Linked DNA regions of Coturnix japonica. The protein of the gene in region 1 interacts with the protein of each later gene in a pairwise test. Links are inferred from orthologs where the notes say so. Each region holds a gene or a part of one and is shown in the gene's direction. Other genes may lie near its edges. The genes, in order: NFYC, LMO4 and DR1.

Region 1 (4,325 bases):
GACCACAGAGCCCCCACATCTGACCCCAAACGGCTTCTTTTTATTCTCCCAGCTCTACAAGGCAACGTCTCTGTGTTCAGGTGGATCTCAATCCATTATTTACATCCAGATTTTTTCTTCTTTACTCATTTCTTTGCTTGGGGATGCTCGTCCCAAAGCAACTGCTGGTTTGGGATCAGTGCAGAGGGATGCTGTAATGGGAGCCAGGTGGGATGGGAGAGGGCTGACTGATGGGAGGAAGGCCAGGAGTGCAACCTCTGCTGTAGCAACCCATTTCCTTAAGTGCCAAACAAACCCAGCCCTATAGAAGCCGGCTGGAGGCTGCAGTCTGTGTGCAGAACAGCCCCCCTGGGTCTCATTGCTGGCACAGGAGGCCCCGGTTGAGCAGGTAGCAGATGTCAGCAAGTGTGAAATCAACAAAGCACCACAAGGAATCACACAGGAACCAGCAAGTGGAAAAAAAGCTGCTGTGGGGTTTAGTTGGTTGCTTGGTTGGTTGGTTGGTTGGTGGGGGTTTTTCTTGGCTCCTCTGTTTCAAGCAGGCTGACATGGACATCTCTGTGTCTGCAGATGGCTGAGATCCTTGGGGAAACCAAGAGCAGGTGGGAAGGAAATGGAGCATCGCGGGCACAGGGCAACGCAAAGGGATCCAGCAGGAGGAGGGGTGGGTGCTGCACTCAATGCCCTCCTTCAGCACGGAGACAGCTGGCTGTTGTGCAGCTGGGAGCAGCAGCAGTCAGCAGCAGTTGTGGCTAATTGATTTATAAATGAGTCATTGCAGCAAGGGGCTGCTGTGCACATCACGGCTCCCTGACGGTGCAGCAAAAGGAGACCGGCTTATAGTGGGAATCAGGAGGGGGAAAGCAGTTGTTACTAAGCGCTGTGGCTCATCTCTTGCTCCTCTTGGCTGCTGTGCATTATCAATGTCCCCAAACCTCCATGATTTGCAATAAAACGGGGTGAGTTTGCTGCATTTTGGTGCCACCAGCACACAGCCTTAAGGGCTCTGAAAGCACAACGGATTGAGATCCATCCTGTTTCATACAGACACGGCTGCGGTCTCCCTCGTCCCACGCAGGGCACACAACAAGCTCCACAGCTGCACCTCCATAGCTGGAAACCGGCTGCAAACAGTGAACCATCGTGAGGCAGCTCCGCCATATAACGGCTCTGACTGTGCCGGCAGGGCCTTGAGGAGCGGCTCTCCGTGCCTGGCTGTGCACAAGGCCAGGCCTGAGGCCTCACGTCTACACGAAGCCCATCCCGAGGCCTTGCCCGCCCCCTCCCGGCCCCGCTCCGCTCCCGGTGCGGCCCAGCCCAGCTCCAGGCCCCGCCCGTTGGCTCCCGCCCCGGCCGAAATCTCGCGAGATCAGCCCCGGGTCATGCGCCTGCGCGTTGAAGCGGCCCAAGGGGAAGGGGCGTGGCCTCCGCCCCGCCGCCTCACGGCTGCGCCGCCATCTTGTTTCTCGGCCGCCGGGCGCGCGCTCCAGCTCCAGCCGCACCCCTCCCCCTCCCGCCTCCCGCCGTTCGGCCGCCGGGCGGAGGAGGCGGAGATCGCGGCGCCGACCGGCACGGTGAGTACGTGAGGGGCGGGTTGGATGGCGGCGGGGGGAGGCGGGCGGCCTAGTCAGGGCCGCGCCCCCCCCCCCTCCGATTGGCATAGCCGCGCCGCGCGCGCTGATTGGCCCGCGCGAGGGGAGGCGGGCGGAAGAAGCCGCGCGTTGATTGGCTGCCCACAGGCGGACCGGGAGCTCGGCCGTTTCCCCGCGCGGCGCGGGGTGGGGCGGGCGTTGCGGAGAGTGACAGCGGCGCTGGCCAATCGGAAGCGCCGCTCGCCCCCTCCGCGTGTCGGCTGGCCAATCAGCGTCGTGCAGCGGGATTGGAGGGCGTAAGGCCGCGCTGCTGAGGGGCCGCGGTTGGGCGGCGCTGTGACCCCTGCGCTGCGCCTCAAGGTAACTTGAAAGCAGGAAGCGGGCGGGCGGGCCGAGCCGCCGGCGGCAGCCAATCAGCGCTCGGGACCGCGGCTCCCCCCGGCGGCGCTCAGCCAATGGGCGCGGCGGGGTGGGCGCAGCAGGGTAGGCTGAGCGGCGGCTCTTAAAGGGGCCGCGTCCCGGTCCGGCGGGGACGTGGAGTCCCGGCAGACAGGGGTCAGCTCAAAGACAAAGGAATGGCGGAACGGACCGGGATGAACGGGGATCGCCGCCCCGCGGCACCGGCCCGACCCACCCGGTGGGGGCCCCCTGCGGCTCGGTGAGTCGGTGGCGCTTGCGGGGACAGCGCGGGTTGGGCGGGGGGCGGCCCGGTGACAGCGCGGCCATGGCACCGCTCGGGGCCTCCCCGCCGTGCGGGTGGATGGACGGGGCTGACGGTACCGGAACGTGCACCGGGCTGAGCCCCGGCCTGGAGGAGAAGGAGGAGGAGATAAAGGGGGGGGTGAACGGAGGGGTCAAACGGGGCTGAGCCGCCAACCGGGAGCGTGGATTGAGGGGGGGCACAAAATGGCAGCGCCTGTACCCGGTGTGTGCCGTGCTGTGCCGTGGGGATGGAGATAAACGGGGATGCGGGACAACCGGCCTCTGCGGCCCAACGGCACCGGGGGCATCGGGCCCACAGCCGAATCCAGGCTCCTGCCCGCAGCCCTTTGTTTTCTGTCCCGTTTGCCACCGAACACTGAAGGTCACTGAGGTTCCGAGCAGCGCTGGGCACACACTGTGATCACAGAGATGAGAGAGACACGGGTGAGTGGGCAGCCACGGGGGAACACGGGCCTGGAGCCGGTGCTGAGCTGCAGCCCAGCGCCAGAGTGAGGCCTCCCCACATGAGCAGCAGTGACCTTGAGATGCCGCGGCTCCCGGCCTCCAGAATGAAGGACAAAGTTTGTTTACGGCGCTTTGGCCGGGGATGGAAAAGGAAAAAGAAAAGAATGTGAGTTGGAAAATGAAGCTGCTCCACCTCAACCACAGCTCTGAGGGCACAGGGAACGGTGTGCTGGTCAAATTGAGTGCACATTGCAGGCATTCCGCACCCTGCAGTGCAGTGGGATGTTGGCATGTCCTTGTGGTGCTGGTAGGGCTGCAGGACACAAGTCGTTGTGCTGAGCCCACTCCACGGCTTTTTGTTGTCCAGCTTTAGATTGCTGCCTTCAGAATCACGGTTCTCAGACCTGGAGGTAATTATGTTGTAATTACATTGTGCATCTTATGTCAGGGCTGGGCGCGTTCCCTGAGCTCGACCCTCGGTGATGCCACCTGTAACTGAGGGACCACACTGGGCTCTGGTTGCAGCCTGAGTTGCTGCAGCCTCTGAGTGTCCCTGGTGAAAATCATTGCCCTTCTTCAGCCTCAGCTTTCTGTGGCTTCATGTGGTTTCAGCTCTGAACAGGGCAGAGGGAAACCATCCCCTATTGGTACCAGTGGCTGCTCCGGGTCATTGGTGGGGCAGCAGCACCTGTGGGGCACCTGGGCATTGTCACTAGCAAGAAGGTCACTGCTGGCCTCTTAGAGATGAGCCATTTTAAGCTGCTTTTTCCATGTATTTTGGATGTATTCAGCTGCTCCATGCTTTTAAGATGTAGCCAGAGTCTTCTTTACATCCAGCATTGGTCATATTTCGGATCTTGAGCTTGCAATAGGCCGTGGATGTACAGCAGTAGGTGCTGCTCAATCCAGCACTGAAAGGGGATTTGGGTCCACATTCTGCCCACTCTGACCCTCATGGAGTGGAGGGAATATTCCCATGTCCCATTTGTGCTGCAATGTGAGGGTCCCTGTTTTGAGCAGGCCTGCAAACCAGGCCCTGTGTTTTGTATGGGTATTTTCCATGGTTATTTCTTGTATTAACACAGCTGGCAGAACAAGCAGGGAAGGCATAGAGGACATGGGGTTGTTGTGGGAAGCTGGTTCCTATGGGCTGAGACACTCAGGGGCCTGCAGGAGGTCACCTTCAGAGCTTGTGTTGGTGTTTGTATTGTTGGGTTCCTTGAATTGGCCTGGGATGTGATATTTATATAATGCAGCGTGACATCTGTATTCCAGTGGTGTAGGTACAGGAAGCAGCTTCTCGGGCTGCCTGCACTGGAAGTGAATCAGATTGGTATGGTTAACTTCAATGGCATTGTCAGTGTGTCCAAACGTCGGGTCCTGCTGAGGAAGCTCCTGTTGTGTATTGCTCAGAACCCAACAATTCCTGCATGCTGAGATCTCACCGTGGGGATTCTCTCCTGTTGTCTATGGTTTGCTGTCCTGTTTGGTCTCTGCCTGATGAGTCAAAGTGGGTCACTTTAGGCTGCCTTTATTCCCTGAAGGTGACCCACAAGAGTGTAGATT
Region 2 (4,377 bases), on another chromosome or scaffold:
CATTCTTGGCTTAAGATCAGCTGCCATTTATGTGTTTTATGAAAATATAACACCAGTTTTATGCTCAAAACTATTCTTTTTTAGGTAAAAGCTTCAGCACAAACTGGTTCCCCATATGTACCATAAATGCTATTTATCACAGGTTTTGGTCTTTAAAACAGAAAGATAATGTTAAAACATTTTCATTATCCTTTCCTTACAGCTATCATTCACAAACCATCTTTTATAATTATGGCACTAGGACATTTACATAACTGGGAAAAAGGTCCTTAAACTACATTTCTATTATGTTTGGCACTTGTGTGAAAGGATATTATATTCATGTGCATTAGAGATTGCTTATAAAAGATCAAGACAATAATAGCAGATCAGACGATAAAGGTTCCCTTTTCTCCTCCCAGACAGGCTGTCTCTGACAGAAGAATACAGTTCATCAAAAGTGTCTGCAGGTTGTCAAACTCAGTGAGATTTGGGGACACTCGGAGGCTGTCATGGCCAACAAGAAGATTTTCTGTAGGGTTCTGCCATCATTCACCCTCAGGAAATAATCACTCACTACATTCTGCATGCTCTCATGATAGAGCTCTATTTGAGAGAAAAGAGCCATTTTATCAAAGGACAATATATCCCTTCTCTTGGTCCATGCAGCTTCCATTATCAGACTATAATAAATCATATTTATGTTCTCAGTTAATAAGACTGATTACAATGCAGGTTACAGGCATGGGAAAAGCAAAGCAGGTGAAAAGATGTTTTAATGAAAATATGATAAGCAAACAGCTTCTTGTGAACATTTCAGGCTGTTATTTGTAATGATCACAGGCATTTTTTGATACATCTTCCTTAGCAATGGTTTAAGCTGCATAAATTGGCTTGCCACTTTATACGTCGAAATAGGAAGAATCCCAATGTCCTTCTCATGTTGTCTGGAATCATTATATACATTATAAGCATAAAATGAGTTTAATGTATGTGCTTTGAAAAGAAGGGGAAAACAGAAAATCAGGGAGGACTGATTTTAATGCTGCTCAAAATGATTTTGAAATTTTCTGCTCATCTTTGTTACTAACGGAGCATTTTCCATGAAATTTAGGAATGACATGTGGTGCTTTCATCTCCTTAAAATTAATATACTTCTCTTTCTGTTTTTCTCAATTTCTTCAAAGTTCTTTTTAGAACACTGTGCAAAGACAGAGAGAAAATTCTCCACTCGATGTGTGAACATATCTGTTATTAGTGCTGGGGGGAGTTAAGTGTGTGCTTCTAGAGGAGAATATAGCTCTGCATTAAATACTGGAGTAAACCCTATTAAAAAGGTGCAGGGATATTTAGCTGCAGCACACCTGATGCATTCAAAGGCCAAATTCCTTGGAATCTTTTAAAGTGATTAAGATCTCTTTTGTTAAGAATTCTCCAATGATTTCAGAATGTAACTGTACCTAAATAGCTGATAAAATGTCCTGCTCTTGTCTTGCCAAAAGCTTTCTTTTATGTTTTATTGTTGCTTTTTTTTTTTTTTCGTAGTCATTTGGTTTATGTTTAGCATCATACTTTCAAGACAAAGTTAAAAATTTAGAGAATAATTTCCTCCTGCTAGCACATAACGCTGACTAAGTACATCAAAATCTACAGCACTTGCAGAATGCGAACATTATGCTTATAATGTATATAATGACTCTAGACAATATTAGAGGGACACTGGGATTCTTCCTATTTTGACAAAGTGGCGAGCAAATGCAGAAGTCTCTGTGGTGTTGTGTGTCTGCAGGAGCTGTTCTGGTCACTGACACTTCTAAAACTCTCTTAAATAAATGTTAAAGCGTTGTAATGGGCCTGGCAATGGAGAATGACCATGAAATTTCCTTAACCCTCTTAGGGTGCTTCAGCAGAAGTGATCTCACAAGAAACAGTAAACTGCTCTTCAAAGGCAGTATCCTGATATGACAACAGATGTAGATAATGCACTTCATGATGGAACTGCTTGATACAGAGAAAAACATGTTGTAACTGCCTTCACCGTGAAAGGGGTTTAAAAATGCTGCCTGCCAACTCCACAAAAAAACAGAGCTGCTATTTCAGTTAAAGGCCAGTGGATTGTATTTTTCATGTCAGTTTTCACTAACCTCAAACATCACTGTTATGACAGACTGTCAACCAACCAAACCAGAACTGTGGTGCCATTCAGGCAAGAAGGAAGAAAGCAAACACAAAGGAAACTTAGAAGTCCAAATAGTAAGAGGGGGTGCCTATGAGTGCACTTTTGTGCAGTGATACTGATTACTGAAAATGAAACACTTAAAAGAAAATAAACCCAAAAAAGTGCTTTCTGAGCCATTAGTGTTTTCTTGCCTGGCAGTTTCTCTTTGTTCTGTTTCATGACATCAGCCTCGGTGGTTGAAAGGGTGTTCTGGGCCAGATGTCAATCACACTGTCTGACATAAACAAAAATAGCTAAAAAGACATGCCAGCATCTTCCTTTTGTTTTCCCATTAGCTCCATTTTTCTTTTCAGAGGCTGACAAAAAATTACTGCCTCCGAGTGAATTCAGTAATGTCACTATATATCTAATATCTAGGAGACCTTTTGTTTTAGCTTTACTGGGCTTAACCACAAAAGACACTTGACATTGACAAAGAGTCTGTCAAATACACAATGATCAGTGCAATGAAATCTCTCATGACAGAAGGGCACTATTCTGCACCCCCAGCCTGCAGCAGCCTGTCTGAGCAAAATGTGCTGGAGCACACACAGCAGCTGAACCATTGCAGAGCAGGCCATAAGCTGAGATGTGTCTTGTTTAAAGTGTCATAGTATATTAGTGTAATTAAAACCGCCAAAAGAATAGAAAAGATAGATGGAAATGTTACATTACTTGTTTCTAGAGATTAACCTCCAGCCAGAACTGAAATACAGAGACACATTTTGCATGTCTTAGAGCTCAGATATGGAAGAAAACAAGCCTGAGAGTATGTCTCTTGAAGTGTGAGACATGAAGTCATAGTTCCTGTATTTACACAATAAAGCAGAAATAGCATTTCAGACAGGCACGCTGTTTTCTCTCTGATTACAGCTCCTGTTGTGGCTGTACTCTGCAAAGCAGCTGTATCATCTCTCAGCTACTTCTATTTTACTCTCTCTGCCTTCGTTCTTGGAAGATCTTGAGGACCCTTGTGCTGGTGTCAATGCCTTCTGCTCCCTTGGCATCTGCCAGAGTTGTGTGGGCCCCGCCTGGAGGCAGAGCACCCTATTCCTGCCGGTGGCTGCAGAAGCCACAGCTCAGCTCCAGGCTCAGCAACACCCAGCTAGGGAGATGTCTGAAGAGTGGCTTCAATATGACCTTTATATGCCAGGCTGCATGCTTGCTTCTCTGCTGATTCTATAGATAAAACTGTATGGCTTTCTGAAGTTGACCCTGAAAATTATGTTCCCAGCACTGCATGTTTTCCTTCCCATGCATCATTACCTGTGATAACTATTCAAGCCTAACTAGTTATGAACTCTGTTTCTAACCATGACACAAGTTAAATCTGTTGGTAAAAAAGCCTTGAAGTTTTTGTGGACCTGTTCTGCTGTATAGTCTGAACCTTGGTTAATCCAGAATCTGGAGAGGACATGATCTGGCTTCAGCAGTTCTGAAACACTGCAAAAGCAGCATGGCTTTCTTCTAACGTAAGCCTTACATTCAAGGAGAAGATGCATTAATCACGTAGGTCTCATGTTCATTTCTTCCACTATAAATGAACTTCAAGGCTTTGCCCCATTAGTTGGTCAGTTTGAAGTTAAGAGATGTTAAATATAGGCCTTACATTTTCGGTTTCCTCATACTTCCTCTATTTCCCAGCTTTAAATATCAGTTAATGACTTCTCCATATAACAGTACTCTTTAATTTCTGGTCAGAGGCTGTAAATGTGCACTGTTAGTCAAAAATATGTTATCTGCATTTAGTGTTGGCTTCTGGAGCCTTCACCACCAAGTTACCTCACAGTCGCATCTCTCTTCACGTGATTTTCCAGGTACTGCCAGGAGAAGAATGGAAAATGACTATGAAATAAAAGCACATTCTGCTCCCATTACAGGCAATGAAAACTGTGCTTTTACTTCTACTTACTCATAATGGTGGGGGGAAAAAATGAAGTGGAAACAAGCACAACAAAACACCTCTGCCAGCTATCTATAAGCTAACCAAGGCTTCCACTAATGAGGTGGTCTGGCATTTTGAGAAAGACGGGTTTTTCCAGAAATGGAAAAAATATGCTGTTTTTTTCCTTCAACTCTGAGAGCTTAGTGAGAGAGTAAGAAATTGCATTTCAGAGGGATAGCAAACTTTTAATGCTCTCAGTATTATTTAATACTTACAGACACCAGTGTAGTTTCTT
Region 3 (3,635 bases), on another chromosome or scaffold:
AATGCTAAAAACCATTGCTACCTTATGTAGGCAGAATGGGCCACGTGAAGTGTGTTTTGGTGGTTGTTTTAAATTCCATAATACTGTGCCTTAGTGCCTAAATTAAAGACAGTACATGCAGGTTTAACAAAATTGTGTTGATTTTTATATGATTTTTAAAAGTGTTATGTTACAACGTGGCAAGTATTACTTAATACTAAATTACACTTAATTAACTTGAATTAAGCACAATTAAATTATACGTAAGTTGGTATGAGGATGGTGGTGAATGTTTAAAGTTAGTCTAATGATTCTTCCTGATATTCGTGCATGTCTAAAAGTGTGGAAGATGAGGTCATCAACAGAAGTGTTCTTTTTGAGGCTTCCTTACTAAAGGTTGCTTGTAAAGTTCCTGTGTAAATGGGTTGCTCGATAAATGAGTTCAGTTTACCCCAGATGCTGTTAAGGCTTCTTAGTCAATACAGCTGATGCTGCAGATTTACAGCATCTTGAATTGTTTTCCAACCTTTTTAGCTTGGCTACTGCTTAAACTTAGAAATACTGAGAAGTCCTCATTGGGAAGTGTTGAACAGGCTGAGAAATTGCAACACTTCTTATTGTATAGGAAGACTTCTTTTTTTCATGTATACTAAATAGGTAAACTGGTTTTGATCATTTTCTGAAGTACCATCTTTTGGTGTCTTGAAGTTTGGAAAGCTGGTTTGTTGAGGCTTTGGAAAAAGAAAGGAAAATTCAGTGAGCAAATAAAGAATACTGAAGGTTTTTAATTTAGAGAACTTTCAAAACAGAAAATGAAACGTTAACACAGTGTTGAAATCAAAAATAGTTGCTGAAAAACAGAAAAAAAGCTCTAAATGGGAAAATGGGAAGGCACCATGTGAGCTACTTGAAGAACATGGTTAGAACATCTTGTACCTTGAAGTACAGATAACATGCCTTTCTGTAACAAAGGCATCTCAACCTGCCTCTCCTTATTTAAGAAGAGCTCAGATTGCTCTGTTTTCCCAGGATGGCTTAGCAGAGTGAGATAATGGATTTCTTCATTTCTGTGGGTTGGTTTTTGGTTTTTTTTTGTTTTTGTTTTTGTTTTTTGGTGGTTTTTTTGTTTGTTTTCTTTTTGTATTTCTACATGCTGTGGTGAGAGGGATGAATTTGTAATTGCCAACATTATTTGTAATCAGCAGTGTAGGACTGTTCTCGTCTCTGAATGGTGGCTGAATGCTAAGAGGCCTTGAAACTGAGCCGTAAATTATTTTATTGCTTTGTCTTGCTTTATCTTTTCATTAGTAAGTGGTTCAGTACAACCCTTACAATGAAACTAAAGAGGTGTGGACTAATGTACTTGTTCTGGAAAGTATAAATCCTCTAAATGTTGGCCTCTTCAGAGGAAGAGCAAATATAGCTGGACATCCTAGTACAAATAACAAAGGTATTTCTAGACATGTTTTCTAGACATGTGTGTGCACAGTTAATAAAAAATTATGTAAAAGGAGCCTACAGGTGCAGATAAAACTGCTTTTATAGCTAAGGTGCTCTAGAGATTCTTCACAAGTTACAGTATGACCTTAACAATTAAATTCATGTCTTTAGGCTAGACAACAGCAAGCAGAACTGGCACAGCAAGAGTGGCTGCAGATGCAACAAGCAGCTCAACAGGCACAACTTGCTGCTGCCTCAGCCAGTGCATCCAATCAGGCAGGATCTTCTCAGGATGAAGATGATGAAGATGATATCTGAAATTCACCAGCTGGGTTTCTGTCTTCACTAAGAAATATTTTTCCTGCACAATGAAAACAGTGAAATGAATGCTTACCTGTAAGTTTGTATGCATCATGGACTGGCAGTTGGTATTCTAGGGGTGTCTGCTGTTGTGTGCTGTACATGTATAAACTGTCTTTTTTTGAACTCTTGAAGATTTAAGGTTCAGTATCATATCGACTTTGGATTTTTAATGGTGTATATGGAAATTTTAGATAGCAGTGCGTCACTTATTTGATCAATAAACAGTGTTACAATGAACAACAAGTTTATAAAATACAGTGAGATTTATACAAAAAGCTCTAAATCCACATTTGCATTTCTTCCCTTTTAACTAAACTATAAAATCTTACTTAGAATTTTTAATTGTTTTTGGGGGGAGTGGTACAGTAGAGGTAAACTGTTAATGGGAAAGAAGTCAAGTTCAGCATAGTACAGTCTTGAATTCTTTGTTCTTTTTAAAATGCGGATATATATGGCAATAAATACTATAAATGCTCCAATACCACACTTGTTACCATTTGAAAATGATACCTTTCCTAGCTTGGTGAAAACGTATGTTTAATAGGAGTTGTACAAATTGAATCCTTTTTGGTATGGGATGGAAAAAAATAAACCCATGGTTTTATTACTACGTCCTTTGACAGTCAGTCCTGACTGAATATTTTACTTGGAAGACTGCCAGTTTTGGAAAACTAACTCTTCTTATTGTTTTGCTCCGATTTAATGTTACCTGTTGATGTTATTGCGTAGTCCAGATATGTTCATATTGTTGAAATATAAAACTGGAACTTGATGAAACAGAACTGTTCTGGTTCCGCTGATGTAACTGGGAATGATTCAAGCCTGTGAAGGCAAAAGCTGAAGCTCCGAGCATGCTTACAATAAAAGAGGGATTTTATTTAACCTTGATAAGTCATCGTTGTCAGCGTAATGCTAATGTTTTCCACACTAGGTTGCCACTGGATTATTAGAATACTTTCAAAGATAACATTTTCATCACTCAAATTGGTTTGTAGGTAAGTCCAGGTTTTTGACAAAGGATTTCCCAAAGTGATGGGTAAGACATGGAACAGAACTGTAGTAGTCCTTTTGATAGTTGATTTGAAAATTCTGTTGATTAATGGATGAGCGGCTGTTCTTTGTGTTGAAATAAAGCACAGTAGTGTCCATTACTGGGTTTTAATGTGTTACTTGAAGTAATACTGTCATATCTTCTGGTACACTAATCTGAGCAGACTAGAAAAGCCACTTGTGTACTGCTGTAGATGATCTCATAGCTCTGTAACAATGCAGTTTGTTTATTTTAACCTGAGACCTCAGCAGGTTGCTCTAGTCGTGGGTCCTGAGGAGGGCAGCAAGTCTGTTTGTGTAAGGATACAAGTGGAAAACATCATGTCCATTTTTACATAACGATCTGAACAAGGTACAATTGGCATATATTCAGGTCTGAGTCTCTTAGTGACTTTTAAGTGTGAGATGCGTTAAGTTTCATATAGAGTAAATGTGAACACTTCCTTAAATGCATTAATACAGTGAAAAGTCAGAAATGTATTTTAATATTTAAGTTAAAACAAACGAAAAACCTTTCACAGCTACTATATGATATGTGTTAGGCAAGGTTTGATTAAGGAAGTGGTTTTCTGTGAAGGTTTAAGTACCAAAGGTAGAAAATCTAGTCTAGTGATACAATGTTAATGTGCAGTGTTGGCTTTTCTAATTTGTACTGTAACACCTTCACACCTTTCTATTTTAAATGAGTCTTTTCCTTTTAAATAATATTAGGTATATTTTCACACCTTTATTTTCTGATGCAGAATTCAGGTTAACATTTTACTGCATCTGGTATGTATGGTGTAATATGTTTGGATCCTTGT

The links.
Region 2: the proteins of NFYC (region 1) and LMO4 interact in binary tests that used the Homo sapiens proteins (3 or more experiments, as listed by UniProt). The link is inferred for Coturnix japonica from reciprocal best matches to the Homo sapiens genes NFYC and LMO4.
Region 3: the proteins of NFYC (region 1) and DR1 interact in binary tests that used the Homo sapiens proteins (3 or more experiments, as listed by UniProt). The link is inferred for Coturnix japonica from reciprocal best matches to the Homo sapiens genes NFYC and DR1.

The regions. Positions count from the first base shown.
Region 1 is NC_029538.1:4,321,859-4,326,183, forward strand, and holds the start of NFYC (nuclear transcription factor Y subunit gamma), read left to right. Parts: upstream 1-1,450; 5' UTR 1,451-1,574; intron 1,575-1,824; exon of another isoform or gene 1,825-1,952; intron 1,953-2,106; exon of another isoform or gene 2,107-2,250; intron 2,251-4,325. UniProt on the Homo sapiens protein: Component of the sequence-specific heterotrimeric transcription factor (NF-Y) which specifically recognizes a 5'-CCAAT-3' box motif found in the promoters of its target genes.
Region 2 is NC_029523.1:13,758,155-13,762,531, reverse strand, and holds the start of LMO4 (LIM domain transcription factor LMO4), read left to right. Parts: upstream 1-1,541; 5' UTR 1,542-4,377. UniProt on the Homo sapiens protein: Transcription cofactor. Plays a role in establishing motor neuron identity, in concert with MNX1, acting, at least in part, to disrupt LDB1-LHX3 complexes thereby negatively modulating interneuron genes in motor neurons.
Region 3 is NC_029523.1:12,067,173-12,070,807, reverse strand, and holds part of DR1 (protein Dr1), read left to right. Parts: intron 1-1,590; coding exon 1,591-1,737; 3' UTR 1,738-3,635. UniProt on the Homo sapiens protein: The association of the DR1/DRAP1 heterodimer with TBP results in a functional repression of both activated and basal transcription of class II genes.